Caenorhabditis elegans: one gene and its partner. The protein of the gene in region 1 interacts with the protein of each later gene in a pairwise test. Each region holds a gene or a part of one and is shown on either strand. Other genes may lie near its edges.

What was found.
Region 2: the proteins of col-101 (region 1) and M01F1.4 interact in a two-hybrid assay, tested with the Caenorhabditis elegans proteins (one large-scale study listed by BioGRID).

The regions. Positions count from the first base shown.
Region 1 is NC_003282.8:323,624-330,443, forward strand, and holds col-101 (Nematode cuticle collagen N-terminal domain-containing protein), read right to left. Parts: upstream 3,398-6,820; 5' UTR 3,049-3,397; coding exon 3,011-3,048; intron 2,908-3,010; coding exon 2,691-2,907; intron 2,625-2,690; coding exon 1,896-2,624; 3' UTR 1,812-1,895; downstream 1-1,811. Other genes in the region: Protein drl-1, read left to right, coding at 1,453-1,783, 4,393-4,499, 4,555-4,731, 4,778-4,862, 4,908-5,161, 5,205-5,531, 5,579-5,768, 5,810-5,927 and 2 more.
Region 2 is NC_003281.10:3,503,860-3,513,657, forward strand, and holds M01F1.4 (Transmembrane protein 245), read right to left. Parts: upstream 6,175-9,798; 5' UTR 6,059-6,174; coding exon 6,056-6,058; intron 5,985-6,055; coding exon 5,886-5,984; intron 5,817-5,885; coding exon 5,684-5,816; intron 5,626-5,683; coding exon 5,262-5,625; intron 5,203-5,261; coding exon 4,985-5,202; intron 4,541-4,984; coding exon 3,957-4,540; intron 3,559-3,956; coding exon 3,402-3,558; exon of another isoform or gene 3,346-3,401; coding exon 3,227-3,345; intron 3,170-3,226; coding exon 3,047-3,169; intron 2,994-3,046; coding exon 2,836-2,993; intron 2,495-2,835; coding exon 2,394-2,494; intron 2,344-2,393; coding exon 2,108-2,343; intron 2,052-2,107; coding exon 1,920-2,051; 3' UTR 1,784-1,919; downstream 1-1,783. Other genes in the region: lias-1 (Lipoyl synthase, mitochondrial), read right to left, coding at 1-248, 305-540, 585-886, 931-1,028, 1,078-1,177; mrpl-35 (Large ribosomal subunit protein bL35m), read left to right, coding at 6,386-6,543, 6,644-6,761, 6,862-7,062; Proton myo-inositol cotransporter hmit-1.3, read right to left, coding at 7,198-7,559, 8,357-8,536, 8,581-8,731, 8,785-8,921, 9,529-9,608, 9,669-9,798.

The DNA.
Region 1 (6,820 bases):
TAGCCATATTCTTTTAGTCGCCGCATCGTCACCCCATCATAAAACCGTCAAAGATGTTGTCTATGACTGTTCACGTGTACAATTGTTTTGAATCAATCTTGCCTCTGGGATCCTTTTTGACTATCCCACAGTCTGGTCGTTTAAATATGAAATTGATTTTTGCTTTAAAATTCAAACCTCCTTATCAAACTTTGGAATTGTACTATTTAGATTTAGAAAATGCAAGAAAAAACAACAAAACATCAACAACTTTAAGAATGCGAAAAAGAAGTGCCGAAAAATGCCGAAAAAACTAAGTTTTTCGGAAAACGGCAAATGTCGATCGCCGAAAAAAAATTATGAGTCGCAGAACGGCAAATGCCAGACATAGAAAAATTAGACAAAAAAAGAATAGCTAGGTGGGGCAAGTTATAAATATTATTTTTGACATTAGCATCGCTCTGGCGCTAATTAACTTGAAAAGGTGTTTGTCCGATCAAATATTAGTTTTTAAACTGTTTTAATCAAACGCATTCGTGAGACCCGTCGAAAAATATGTAGGTGCCTTTAAAGGGAGTTTTCAGTTTTCCACGATATCCAATAACAACCGTTTGTTAAACTCCTGTTGTGCATAAATAGTTTTTTTTTCTCTACTGATAACGACTTTGGAATTATGTGGGGTATATGTGTGTTGTTAAAAATTAAGTGATAAGAAAACTTCCAATTGATTTTTTTTTCGATTTTTCATTTTAGGTTTAAATAAAATTTTGAACAATGCTCAGAAATTATGGTGAATTCTTGAAAACGTGAAACAACTATAATCGTAACAACCTTTTTAATATTGGTAAATTGGTGACAAATGTCTAAAAGATAATGTGTTTTACAATAAGTGGGTGTAGAAAAATTATGAAAAAGTAAGCTTAGAAAAATTTGTTTCAAAAATTTCCTTTTCATATTTGAATTGGAAGTCATAGATTTTGTATGATTTATTCACTTTGCTCAAATTTTTTTCTTTCTTTGATTATACATTTTCTTGGTTTTTCTTGAGTTTTTTTTTTCAAAACATACCTATTTGTTTCGACAACAAACACCTCTTTTTGTGAAAGTTTTTATACCACAAGTAAATAATTTAGAGAAGTTTACTTTTTTTTATTTTTGTATGAGTAGATGAATCAATCAGCTACCAAAATCTAATATAAAATCTTGCCAAAGACCTCTGAAAATCTGTAAAATTCGCTCTTAAAATGAAAATGAAAATAAAGCTATGAAAACGGGAGAGAGTGTTGAAAAGCGTGAGACGAAGAGAAACATTCTCAGAGCGAATTTTTCAGAATTCTAGAGGGAGGTCTTTGGCAAAATTTTATATTAGATTCTGGTAGCTGATTACTTCATCTACTCGTACAAAAAAAAAGTACTTAGTTTTTTATGTTATAACTTTAAAAAATTTATTGAAACATTTCAGTTCCGTCAAAAATGCATTCAGAGGAGAAATACTTGCACATTCCGAACAACACGAAATACCCTGAAATTATTGTAGAAGAAGAAGAAGAAGATCCATCAGAGGAAGAACGTTCCGAGTTGTCAGAGACAGATGATGTGGCAACTCCACTGCGCCCTTCAGACACATTTCCATTCAAACGACGGAATTCTCCATGTTCGATAAAAATGAGCGAAGAACATCTGAAAAGACTCAGAGAAATTGCGTGTCCATCTCCAACTCCAACTCAATGCAGTACAGTTTCTAAGCACGAATTTCAGAATTGGAGGATTAATGAAGATGTCATGAAAGATATGATGCATATCGGTGAGCGTTCAGATTTGTTTAAAAAAAACTGATGCTGGCAGTATTTATTAATGGTAAAATCACCAAAATTATTATAATTTTTGAGACGATTTCAAAACATTTTCTAAAAAATCTAATATCCTGGGGCAGTTCTTGGTGGTGGGCAATGATCGCAGGCTCCTTGTCCTCCATCCCCTCCATCGTTTCCTGGTTGTCCTGCTGATCCTGGCTGTCCTGGCGCTCCTGGAGCTCCAGCATCTCCTTGTGGTCCTGGTTGTCCTGGTTGAGCGTGTCCGGCTTGACCTGGCTGTCCTGGAGCTCCGGCTGGTCCAGCTGGTCCTGGTGGTCCAGCTGGTCCTGGAGTTCCTGGAACATCAACAACGTGTCCTGGAGCACCTGGGGCTCCAGCGTTTCCGTTGGATCCTGGCTGTCCGGATGGTCCTGGTGGTCCAGCTGGTCCTGGTGGTCCTGGAAGAGACGCTCCTCCACTACGGCCTGGCTGTCCTGGAGCACCCGATGGACCCTTTTGTCCTGGAGCGCCCGATGGTCCTGGTGGTCCAGCTGGGCAGTCAAAACAGAATGAGTCTGGCCCGGCTGGCTGGTTGTCTTGAGCATCTTGTCCTGGGTTTCCTGGGGCTCCTGGAGCTCCATCGTTTCCTGGTGCTCCGTCTTGTCCCGGAGATCCGGCTGGCCCTGCGCTTCCAACTCCACAAGAGCAACAAGATCCTCCTCCACTTCCCCCTGATGAGAATCCTCCGGAAGCTCCAGAATCTCCGTAAGATTGCCGACGTTGCTTAGCATGGTACTTGCGCTCGTAAACATTACGCTTGATGCGTCCTTCGACTCCAGCTACTCCTTCGAACTGAAAAGATATGTCTATGGATTTGATATTTTCAGAGAAAAACTGCTTCAATAAAACTAAACGTACTCTCTTGTACTCATCCCAAAGACCGTTTGAACGATGAGCACAAAACTCGACTTCGGATTGGAGGGATGATTGGACGTGTTGTATATAGTTGTACAGCATTGGAACAGCCACAATTGCGATAAGTGTGGCGATAGTAGACACGGCGATTCCGAAGAATGCAACCTTGCGAAGGGACTCTGTCTCGTATGAGACTTGTTTTGGATCGTCCGATGTCATTCTGCAATTTTAGAAAATCCTTTATAATCCTTCCGAGTAATAACGTTAACATACTAATCATCACTCAACAATTAGAATGGGTCCAAATAGAAAAATAAACTTACATTACTGTAGGAGACTGGACAACAAAGTCAAGTACCATTCTGGTCTCACCATCTACTCCTTTTATACCGAAATTCACTGTCTCCCATCAGAAGACACGGAAGCCAACCAGCTGAACCAGGAACTTTGACACGTCTGCGTCTCTCGCGTGCCCTGGGAAACCGAAAAAGTAATGATATCTTGATGTGAAGGTCGCTACTGTGTTTCTCTGTCGTTATGCCATGCCGAGAAAAACATACGGTTTCCACAGATTAGTCCAAAAAACTTCCGCAATTTTGAGAAATTTAGAGGGTGGAGGATAGACAGTAAGGAAGTTGTTATTCAACTATTGAAGCTATTGCTTTGGTGTTCGGTGTTCAATTGATTTCTTTTAGAGGATCGTAGTCTTTTGAAAGTTGGAAAAGATGAGGCCCACGAAAAGGGGAAATGCGAAAAGGGGAATTAGCTCTGTCGACGCACAAAACGCTTTCTTCTCATTCAACGCGCGTTGTTTTTTGAAAATTCCTTCTGAAAAACACGCTAAACAACGCGCGGTGCGTAATTTCTTAACATCGTTGTATCGTTTTCTTCAGGAAAATTAGCGTTTTGTGCGTTGGCACTGTGCCAATTCCCCTTTTCGTCTTTCCCCTTTTCGTTCAGTTTCCCTTTTCGTGGGGCCTCAAAAAGATGAAGAATTTCACGAATTTGAATTCTGAACAAAGAACTAGCCTTTTTCAATGGATTATTTAAGAAACATAAAGTCGCTTTTCTAACTCTTCTCGATCATCTGTTCAGGATTTTACTTTAAAATGCGAAAACTGAACCTAGATGACAAAATACCACAAAAGAAAAACAAAAAAAAAATCCATTAAGTTTGAAAAAAATCGGTTGATTTTGGCTAATTATTTTCAATTTTGACTTGTCTCCTCATTTGAATTACCGCGCTTTAAAAAGATGTTGCGCGTCGGAAATAAAGAAAATAGCGCGGATGCAGATCTACGAAATGCGGCGCGGACAAAAGCGCGGTAATTTAAACGAGGAGATTAGTCACAATTGAAAATTAGCCAAAATCAAACAATTTTCAAACTTGATGGATTGTAGCCCATTTTAAAGTAAAATCCCCATTCACGCTCTTCACCTTTAACGTTCTACAATATTTTCTGGTGTAGCTCTTTGACTGTTTTGACTCTTTATAATTTTTGATGTGTTTTCCTGACTCAATTGAACACTTCAACTTTCTTATCACTTTTCCCTATTACTTCAAACCAGTTTTCAAAAAATGTTTGAATTTTCTGTCTTGTCGAAATTTTTTTTTTTGCAACAAAATCCGATGTCAGAACACAAGTTTGAATTGAAAAGGGAGTGGTTTCCCTCCGATTCCGTTCCTAATCACTCTGTATTTCAGGTACAATATGTGAACGAGAAAATGTTTGTAAAACGTCAAAATATGTTTATACAGCAACAATGGCTAGTTATACAGTTACGGAATGGAAGTTGAAGGAAGGAAATACGGTAGGAAAAAGACGACAACAAACAGTTAATCGAAAAAACAAATTACAAATTACAGCCAGATGAAATTGAAAAAATCTCTCGTACAATTGAAGATCTGTGCCAACTCCGTCACAAACGATTAGCTCCGATGTACGGATACCACTGGAGACTGGAAACCGAACTTATGGTGTTCAGAGCCCATGTACCATCAGGGACAGTTGCTGATTTGGTAAAGGTATCAGCGATTCCACAAGTCAGTTGAGAAATGTTAACTTATATCTATGTTACATGGATTTTAGGAAACTGCCGTGCGTTATATTGTTCATGTAATTGATGCACTGGCATATCTACACGAGAGAAAACATGTGCATGGTAAACTTAATGGTAAGTGCAAATTGTAAATATCTGAATTGACCACATTTATCTTAGCTTCCAATCTCCTTCTAACTATTTCAAATGACATTCTACTGGCGGATCCTTTTATTGAAGGTCTCCCAAGTGCTCAAAAACGTCGTGCCCTTCTAGCCTCACCACCAGAAGCGTTCCGGTCATTAGAGTCCTATCCATGTCTGACACCATCATCAGATATCTGGTCAGTCGGATGTGTTCTTGTCACGATGCTCACTCGATATCCTCCATTTTTGGAGCATTACATGCATTTTCACGGAGAGAGCTTGCATAGAGTTAGATTTCAAGCAGTGATTAAAAATTAATCGAGTAATTTAGGAGCTGGTTTCTGAATGGTGTACCCGTCGTCAATTGATATACTCTTCCCAAACTTTAATTCCATCGGCATCGAAAGAAATTTGTGAACTTATTGATCAAATATTTAACGTCGATCCAGAAAATCGACCATCTGCACAGAATCTCTTGGAATCTCATGGATCAAAATCAAGGAAAGCCTCGTTAAGAAATTCATTGGCTTCACTTACCACAGCTAAAGAGCCAGATCCTCCAAAGCCGATAGATGATTTTTATGTGGAACGGGAGGACGATGAAGAGCATCGAAAAATCGAAGAGTTGAGAGAACTGGCGGAAAGGGGAAATAATGAGGTAAGATTAGACTGAAGGTAGAAAAGTTTTACATTTGAAAATTCCAGGGTGGCTTCATTCCATTTATCCGCTGGTATATGTCCCGAATTCTAATATTTTCTGTTCTCCTAGTCAAATGGATTGGAATGGTGTTATGCGCGGCATTGAGTCTGGCGGCTGTTGCCGGTGGTGTATTTTTTGCAATTTTTTTGATTTACAATGGAATCCAAATTGCGTGCCAGTGCTCATTGAATGAAGGTAAGAAATGAAGGTATATGAAATTCCATATTTAACCTTAGGATTCGTTGTTTTAATTGCTTTGATTCTGCTACCAATTATCATTTTGCTAACTACACTTTGCTGTAATAATTCTCTGGACAGATATCACGCTGATGTGGAAAGTGGAAAAGTGGAAAAGTTTGTTACAATGAAATTCCCACAGAGAATATTAATTTTTAGAAGCCGATTTGTTATGAAAACTCCCGAAAAGGATGTAATTGTTGGAGGATATATACTTGTGGAAGGAAGTCCAGATCATGATAAACCTGCGGAAGTCCCTAGAAAGGTATAGATTTCTGTATATATATATATATATATATATATAATTTTTGTATTATTGATTTGCATGCAAAAATTTTAGGACATCAAAATCAATGTCTAGGCCATTTGAAAATTCTTAAATTTCTTCAAAAATTTGTTTGATTTTTGTATTAAAATTTTAAAAATTTACAGGCAAACCTTTGGCGAATTTCTTTTTTTTTGTCGACTTCCAAAATTGTGATACGCGTAAACTTAACCTTTTTTTTTCTTTTTTTTTCGTTTTTCGGTCTTCTGAAAAAATTTTTAAAATAACCGACACCCCTGCTCCAAACCTCGTGAGTGTTTTCGAGTAACTTTCATTGAAGAATGTATTCACATTCTCCCAAATTCTCCAATTACCAAATTTTCAAACATTGCCCAACACACACCACTAACGCATATCGTGCGCCATAATCGGAAACATTTTTTTCCAAAGAACGACGTAAGAAATCCGGATTGTCCGCGCGAAAATCCAAATTTATCTGGATATAAATCGAGAAACCGTAGTAGTTGTGCCATTCAACTAAGCGGGTTTCAATTTGAGGGAATGTGTTGAAAATTATTATTAGGATAATAGTTTTCAGACTAACCATTAATAAAGTAAGGAAATATTACATTTCCGTTTGAACAATCCAAAAACTGAAAATAATTTTAATTTTCAGTTGGGAATCTCCGAAGGACTCCAGTCAACAATGGGCAATACATTTTTGGGTTATGGTGTTGATAAGATT
Region 2 (9,798 bases), on another chromosome or scaffold:
AACGTAAAGGAATCCCAGTTTTTTCGAATATTCTGCCCACTGGTCGAATTTCTCGGGGGTCACCCATTCTTTGACAAGCAAATGACGTTTTGTCGGCTGCATGTATTGACCGAAAGTGACAACGTCAACATTGCTAGCTCGAAGATCGGCCAAGCACTGCTTTATCTCGTCTTCAGCTTCGCCCAGTCCTAGCATAATCGATGTCTTCGTGATTAGCTTTGGGCTGACTTCCTTTGCGTATCGAAGAGCTTAAAAAATATTCAATAATATTTACGAGATTCTGAAAAAAAAAAAAGCTGCTTACCGTCCAAAGACTGCCGATATTTAGCTCGTGGATCTCTGACCCATGGAGTCAGTCTTTCAACCGTTTCAATGTTATGTGCATATACATCGAGTCCACTGGTAGCCATTTTCTCCACACTGATCTTATCTCCAGCGAAATCGGGCAATAAGCATTCGATGAGAAGTTCAGGCTTCTTGAGCTTCATCAGCTGTACTGTCTTGCGAAGATGATCGGCTCCACCGTCTGGCAAATCATCCCTGAAAATTACTTTGATTAAAAGCTCAAGATACGAATAAGTTACCTGTCAACTGATGTTAAAACAATGTATTCGACACCCCATGAAGCAACGGCGGTCGACGTATTTTCCGGTTCCATAGGATCCAATGGTGGAGGAGCTCGAGCAGTTTTGACCGAACAGAATTTACAACCCCGAGTGCAGGTATCTCCCATCAACATGATTGTCGCTGTTGCTAGACTGTCATCTGATCCTCCCCAGCATTCTCCAAGATTTGGGCACCGTGCTTCCTGACAAACAGTCGCTAGTTTGAGATGTTTCAACTGCTTTTTTAGACGACTGACATTTTCGTTTTCCGATGGAAGAATCTGAAAACAATTGTGATGAGGGGCAAAAAATTGATAGGCTATACCTTTTCTTTCTTGAGCCATGGTGGAAGTCGCAAACGTCTGTCCCCTTTCTCCAGCTTCAGTTTTCCTTCGTACTTCTCAACAGCCTCTGCCACGGATGCTAAAATTAATAATTATTTGATTATGAAACAATATTGTTTGAGTTTTACCTGATGAAATAAAATCCTGAAGCGATGGTCCATCTTTGACGAGAACTTGCGGTTTTTTCTTTGTGGCTGCAAGTCCACGGACCCATACCCGAGCTAGCATGCTTAAACAATCTACCGGTAATAATTAAACTCCTTGTGTTGAAAATCAAGAGGGACCCCCTACAACTGAAATTCTGGTTGAGAAATAGACAAATTTGGATTTTGGGAACATTTTTCCACTTTTCCTACCTAGTTTCTGACAAATCTCGCAGAATAAGAACTACAATCGATAATTAGCACTATTAATCGTTTAAAAATTAAAAATTCAATCAATTTTATGCAAAAAATCGCGCAAAAACGTGAAAAATCAGGCGAAAATCGTGAAAAAATTTTAGGATAGCGGAAAAAGCCATGCGTTGAGGTTCGATGGGTCTCGCCACGATACGCAATCAGACGTGACGGTGTATGCACAGAAAAATCCACCGTAGTCCGCAAGGCCATTCGCAACATTTTTTTTCACTTCAACAATCAAATTTAACTCATTTTTCCAGCAGAATCTTGGGAATTTTCATAAAAACCTTAATAGTGAGGTCCCTTTTGACTTTTTACGTGGTTTATTCGTGATTTTGATCATAACTAGAGTTCTAAAAAGGATAAAACGCTTTTGAAACGGAAAAATAGTTTAAATTGGCTTTCACGTTACCATAATGAGCAAAATAAACAGAAATCCGAAAAAAAATACATGTTTATTATGAGACAAAAGTTCACCAGGAATGGCAAGAACCGAAATTTGTAAAATACAGGGGTCAAACAAACTAAAGGCAGTGTCTAAAGAATGCGAAAAATATTTTTGATTAATATAATCAATGATTATGCAGCTTCACATTTCGTGGAGACGGAGCTGGGGTGTACAGAGCTGTTGGCTTCACGTGCTGGAGATAAACGTTGACAAGTACGAGGCAAAGGCAGAGAACAATTGGTCCTATGATTGCGCCCTGAAAATATATTTAAATGAGGTACTTTTTTAGTAGAAGAAGTTAAATACACAAACCTGCAATCCCAACCAGTACATTCCACCAATGATAGCCAAACCGGTCACATATGGATGAGATCCCTTAACTTCCCGGTAAAAAGTAGCATCTGCGAACATTACAGGAGCAAATGAAGCGACTGTGAATACAAGAGCAGCTGCTCCTTCTCCTCGAACCAGCCAGAGTTCGACGATTCCGAAGATTGCGACGATGTAGGGAGGCATAATTGGAATAGCAGCGAATACTGTGGCAGCCACTGGAAAAATGGGACTTAGTAAAATTAATTAAATTTTAAAATCAACTCACTTGATGGAACAAATACAATGTTCAAATCGAAAAGACTGTGCACAAAATAAGTGTAGAGACCGTAGAAAACAGCCATTTTTGCAGAAAGAACGAATACTCCGCTGAAAAAAGGATTTTTTAATTAACTTTTAAATAATAATTCCCATTAAAATATAGAAAATGGGGCGAAACTACTCAAAATGTATGGATTTTTCAATTTTCCAACAAACCCGGGCAAAGTCATTACTTCATTTTTCCCATACAAATGGGACTATTTTTGCCGAATTTTCTGAAATTTTTCCCCAAAAACATGGAAAATAGGCCAATTTTGGAGGTTTTTCTACGGAAAATTCGATAAAACCCAGAGATTAACCTAAAATTTAATTATTTAAATTGTTCGTAAAAAAGCTATTTTTCAGGACTTTACAGTCGATTTTCTAAATTTTTAAGCCTAAAAACGTACAAAATCGCATGTTCTATCGCTACAGTAATATGATGCTGATTTCCTGCTGACGAGCCATCGGCTGTAGTGACTGCTGAGAGATCAGAAGCCCATTGAAGAGGAAGCCAGCGAGTACGAGAAGCCGAGAGAAGATAATATACCATTGTAAGGAAGACAATCTGAAATTCACTTTATATCGATTTTCAAATAATCTAGAGAAATTATTCAGTACCATCTCGATAAATGTGTTGAGCAAATCCATTCCAAAGCTTAAAATAATTCCGGCGAGAGAGACCAAAAGTGAAGAGAAGATTGACACATTTACGGCAAGAATTGCTCCAATAGATTGGGCGATCTGAAATTTTTTTAAAATTAAAATTAGTTTTTTTAATTGAGAAAAAAGCCTTCAAACCCCCATAAGAGTGTCCAAATTCTCCTTGACAATCAGTGTTAGCTCGTCTTTCAGTGCTGTCAAATCAGTGACCCCCTTCAATTGAGTCCAGACATCACCGCGTGGCTCCTGATTTACTGCTGGAACTTTTTTCCAAATTTTTTTATTTAATTAAAAAAATTTTGAAAAAACCCACCAACTGTGAAATTATTATTTCTCTCTTCCCACATATTGTAGAGTTTATCAACGACTTGCTTAACCTGCTCCTCGAGCATATCGGCTCTTTTTGTGTCTTTTGCGTTCGCCAGGGATCTCACATTGGAGGCCAACCAAGTACGGCCTTGTTCGTAAGCCTGAAAATTGCAAAATTATTGTTTTTTTGTTGGAAATGTCGATTTAAAAAATTATTTTTCGGAAAATTGATTTTTTTTACGAAAAAGTGATTTAATTCGGATATATGCATTTTACTTTAAAAATTGTTTTTAAATAAAAATAAGCTTTTTTTCCTGAAAAATTGATTTATTTTTGGAAAAAAAAATATTTTTTTAAATAACTTTTTACAGAAATTTTGTTTTCCGATGTATTCATATGTTCCTTTCAAAATAAGGAAAATTCGCTTTTTTCCAGAAAAATTGAATTTTTTAAATAAAAAAAAATATTTTAAAATTTTTTTTCTCGATTTTCTCTGCAAAAACAGCGAAAAAAAACTACTAAGAATTAAAAAACTCTAAGAATTAAAAAAAAACAGCACCTGCTGAACATAATCATCAATATCAATATTATTCTCTTCCAACTGATCCTCCGTATAATCCATCGCCGCGGCAAGCCAATCCGGACGAGAATTCACCACATTCGATGTAAGTCTGACAAGATGAACCGTTTCTCCATGCAGTTGGAATCCAAAGAAGAATACGGAAAAGATTGCAGAAAATGCGAGAAGAGCCATAACTATTACAGATGACAATACATCCATCTTATCATGTAGTGTATCAACAATATATTTATCCGATGAGAACAACATTTTCACAAATTGTCGTAATGGCCCGGCTACGGTAATCTCCACGATTTTTGTGACTGATGGTGACATCTTTTGCCAAGTGGAATCCAGGAAATTATGGATAGCGGCAGTGATTCCAAGTTGTTCGGCAGTTCTGGAGATTACAGCCAATACAAATGGAATTGCGAGAAGAATCAGGGCTCCATCATGACGTACAACCCAAAGAAGAGCACAAAGACCGAAAACACAACGAATTAGCCAGTCTCCAGTGATAGCTTCGTCTACTGTTGATGTGGAGAGAAGGGAATTGTCGAGAAGCGATTGTTCTGTTGCGTCCACTGAAAATTAACATTATTAGAAATTAATAGAATAAAAAATTGAATTTTTACAGATTTCTAACATTAAAAAGATGCCGGCGGTCGTTTTGTAAGCCTGCGGCACAGTTTTTGGCCATTTTTCAGAATTTTTCCTGCAAAAAATTTTAAATAACTGATTTTTAGATAAAAAGTGGCTTTAAATAAGCTATTCTAGGCGTTTAATTCAAGAAAAATAAACCAAAATCAAGAATTCTGCCTAAAAATCAAGCGTAAATCTACACAAATCTTAAAGGGACATCGACTCATTTACGCGCGTGGTTTCGCAACGCTTCGGCTTTTTTGATCGAAAAATTCAAAAATTAATGTTTTTTTTCTACATTTTTGGCACTTTTAAATAGAAAAAAAGGGTTTTAAAATGCAAAAATAATGTTTTTCACCCGAAATTGCGGTTTCCTAGAAACTCACATTTTTCTTTCGCAGTTTCCAGAACTTTCTCCACGTTTGGAGGAAGAATGGATTCATCTAGATTTTCAGAAGAATTTTCTTTCTCAAGTAATTCTTCACTTGGTCTATGACCTCCAATTAATCCGGCTGATAACATTCCCAGGACAGCAGCTGAAACTCCAAAAACACCGGCTCTCAGAGGTCCGAAATACAGGGAAGCGTAGGAAATTACGTAGATCCTGGAATTTTTAACAAGAAATTAATTCATTGTTTTCATTTTTAAACTAGGAATTTTTACCAAATGGGAAGAGAAAATGATCTTGCAAGCTTCTTATTAATCTCTTTCGGGTTTTGAACATAAATCCAGGCGGCGTAGCAGCAGAAATAAACGATAATCAGTGGAAGAACCCAGGGTCTCGCAAAGAAAACAATGAAAGAATCCAAATATCCGTAGAGTCGTCCCATCCAGCTGATAATATACATAAAAGTTCTTTCATATGAAAGAATTTTCAACGCAGTATAGGCTATAACAATTATAGCTCCATTCGGGCTGGCGAAGGTTGTGTAGATTTTTTCAGAAATTTTGGAGAATCCGGTGAACGGGAGAGTAATCACTGATTTGGCGAGAGTTTGATTCGATTTTTGAAGATTTCTTAGCCAATCTGTAAAGTTTTTAATTTATTTGAAAGATTTTGAAATTAATTTAGCCAGAAAACTTACGCTGAACAGTATCTGCGACCTTCTTTTTGAACGGGAAAAGTACTGTACCAACGAGCACCGCCCAGAGCATTGGTGATAAAAACATGTACATCATGTTGTAGAGAGCAGCCAGACCACATAATGAGACTCCGAGCTGATAATTTTTAGATTTTATTTAATTTAATTGAATTTTAAAAATTAATTTTTAAAATTTAAAGCGTACCAAAACAAAAAGTAGCACATTATAAAACGCAAATTGAAGTGCTGTTCGTTGTTCACTGTCGCCGGCGCCAAAATAGCGCTCTATGCCTTCTGAGGACATCTGAAATATTGAAATCTTATAAAAAAATTTAAATAAAATGTGTTTTCTTAGATTTTTAAAGATAAAATTACCATGACGCAACGAAAAACGAGTGATCGGCAATAAAATCGATAACGAAAACGATAAATATCACTGAAAAAAACCCGAAATAAATAAAAATTATATAGAATTCTGTCCAACTTTGTTGTTTACTCTCTTTATTGTTTTCTTTTTTCTCAAAAAAAAAATTGCGCCACGAGAGAGTGTGTGAAATGGAGAGACGCGAGAGAAAAGTGTGCATACACCGAATGCTGACCGTAGTCGCTTTGAAAATTCAATTTTTATTTTGTATCAATTTTTTTCCTGATTTTTTCTCAATTTCACATGAAATTTACCTTTACTTTTTATTTTCAGCCAAAAAAATGTTGGGAAAAACGGCGTTGAGCACATTATGTGCATCAAGACAGGCTCCGATCACATTGGCCGCCCGTGGAATCGCCAATATTCCGGCTCACGAGTATCACATTCGATTCGATCAGAAAGTCGGACGGAAACGGCCGGCGCAAGATGTTTTAGACAGGTAACGCTATTTATTAGCTTATTAAAAAATTTAATTCAATAATTATTGATTTTTTGAACTTAAAAATGCGAAACTAATTTTTAAAACTGAAAATTTTCAGATTCAAACGTCTAAACAATGGAATGTGGATTCACGCGCATCCAGGACGTCATAAGCTGAGATATATGAAAGATGAAACGTGGCAGAAGACTAGTCTTTATTATGAGACCTGTACCAAGGTACAATTTTTCGGGTTTTTTTTTCAGGAATTAGAAAGCTAAATTCATCGTCAAATTCGTCAATTTCCCCAACTTTTTCATAAAATGATTCAATTTTCAGGAACAGTGCGAAATTCTCGACAAACTGATGACTCCATATTGGCTCCGTCCAAAGCATTATCCAAATGATCCATATTCTGCCTATAACGTCCGCCATAACGTCACCTCACCACGTGTCGATGATCGTGGAAATTTCGTTCGTGAGAGGAAGAAGGTGCTGATGGATGACTCGACGTCGAAACGTTTTTTTAAAGATTGTTGAAATTTTTTTGTTGGATTTTTTTTTGTTTTTAGGAATATAAAAATAGTTTATTATTCACAATTACAAAATATTATACATGAATAACTGTTGAAACATGTTTAAACAGTAATTAAAGCTTGCAAATTAGGAAAACAATTAGAATTTAGTATCAAAAGACATTGCAACAGAATTCCGATGCTTCCCTTCTTTACTCTCATCCAGAACTTTCTGAGCTTTCCTTCTCTCTTCTTTTGTCATGAATAACATCTCAACTTCATCAATTGAATATCCTTTTGTTTCTGGAACAAAGAAGAAAACGAATACAAGAGCAACCATGGTGCATCCACAATAAATGAAGAATGTTCCATATTTTGTTGCTGCCTGGGAAAGTGACAGGAATGTCAGTGAGACTATTAAATTAAATATCCAATTGCATGCAGTTGATACCGATACGGCTGTACTTCTCGCCCATAATGGATAAAATTCGGCGTTTAGAACCCATGGTAGCGGGGCGTAACCTGGAATTACGTGAATTGATGAATTATTAAGCATTTTGAAGTTTGAAGTTTTGAAGTGCAATCGCGCTCCAACGAACTATTTGGGTCTCGGTAGGAGTTGGAGGCAAAGCCGTAAATTCGTGCCTTATCTCTCATTTTGGCCGTTTTCAGGCATTTTTTCGATAACTTTTTTGTAAAAGCTAGTTTTAAAAATGTGTGAAATGCATTGAAAAATTTGAATTTCTCGGTTTTAGCGTTGGAGCGCATTTCCACTTTATCTTCGGTCTCGACACGACAAATTTATGTTAAATGCAAAAAAGGCGTGCGCCTTTAAAGAGTACTGTAGCTTCAAATTTTTGTTGATGTGGAATTTTCAATTTTTCCATTTTTTTTGTAGTTTTTCATAGTCTTTTAATAAAAACAAATACCATCGTCGAGTAAATAATTGAGTATGAAAAATCGTTAAAAATTCTACAGTACGCTTTAAAGGCGCACACCTTTTTGCGTTTAACACGAATTTGTCGCGTCAAGACCCAAACTTTCGCTTTTGAGTGCAATAATATGGCGACGCTGAAAATTGCGCTTTTTTAATCCTAAGTGCATTCGCGCTCTAACGCAATAGGCGGAAAACCCAAAAATTCAAATTTTCAAATTTAATGATGTTTTATGTCAAATTACATTTCTAAACTATTTTTAAACACATTTTTACATTTTAAAAAATTCAAAAATCCAAAAAAATTCTTGAAAACGCCCACGAGACCCAGAATATTGTGCATGGTGCAATGGAGCGCATTTGCCTTTTAATTTACAAAACCCACCTGCAGAGAATGATAAAAGGTAAAAGACCATAATAATAATTGGCAATACTGTGAATTTAGTGTGACAATAGGTGTCTTCCCACTCGAAATCTGTTCCATTGTTTGTCAAATTCGAGAATTCACAAATTCCAGTGGCAGAGTAGTCACTAGAGTCATCCGATGGGAATGGTAGACAGTATCCTGGAATTTTCATTGGTTTTAGATGAATTTCAGCTTGCAAAAACCTTTTTTAGCAACCTTGCTCTCGCAAAATCCGCAGTTCTCATCAGTTACACAGAAATCGCAATTACTATATTTGAGACACTTTGCAGCATGTTTCACAGATGGATTGTAGTTCAAAGTGTAGTTTTGTTGATCGAATGTTCTCAATGAGTCCTGGAAATTCGGAATAAAATATTTAAAATTGTTGATAGTTAGAAAAATCTCACATTATTGATTAGAAGGAATGAGACACCCATTGCGATCAGGAAAAGAATCACACCGATCATTGAGACAAGGAGAAGCACACGACGACCCACACGTTCTACCAATGCGATTGGAATGAAGGTTCCGAGGAAATTGATTGCTGGAAATTCGAAAAATTCCTTTTTTTTCACAAAAATCTTAATCAGCGCTCTTTTTCGCCCCGTTAGTTTATGCCAATTTTTTGGCAATTCTGCATTTTAAAACTCATCAGAAGCGTAAATATTTTGGCATACTAAATTCTGAAAATGCGTACTACACAACATATGTGATGCGCAAAATATCTCGTAGCGAAAACTACAGTAACCCTTTGCATGACTACTGTAGCGTCGATTTACGCGCTCGATTTTTGCAACGAATTTCTGTTCGAATTGTGACAGTGATATTCAATTTTCTTTGCTTTCTTTTAATATTGTATTAATTAATAAAAAATTTCGGTAAATCGACAGTCATTTAAAGAATCACTGTAGTTTTCGCTACGAGATATTTTGCGCGCCAGATATGGTGCCCAGTACGCATTCTCGAAATTCAATGTTCCCGTGATATATGTTGTTTGCGTACTTACAAAACTATAGTAAATTCTTTGAAACTGAGCAAGAAGCTCAAAACTCTAACTCTAAAAATAGGACAAAAAATGAATCAAAAAATCAGGCCCTGAAACCGCGCCTGCCTCCCTTGGAAGTCCTACATTTTGCTAGTTTGTTACTAACCTGATGTTCCAACGGAAATCCAAATAGTTGTGTGATTGTCCTTAACTCCGGCACTTCGAATAATATTACCAGTATAGTACCTAAAAATTAATTTTTTTTAAATTTAAAAAATCATTCCTTCCCCTGAAAAGCCTACTTACATAACCGTATTAATACCGGACAATTGCTGGAACATTTGAAGAAGAGATCCAATAATCATTGCTTTTCTCACATGCGGAGTTTTCAAAATTCTAATAATAGTTGGCCCATTTCCAGCGTGTTCTGCTTTGG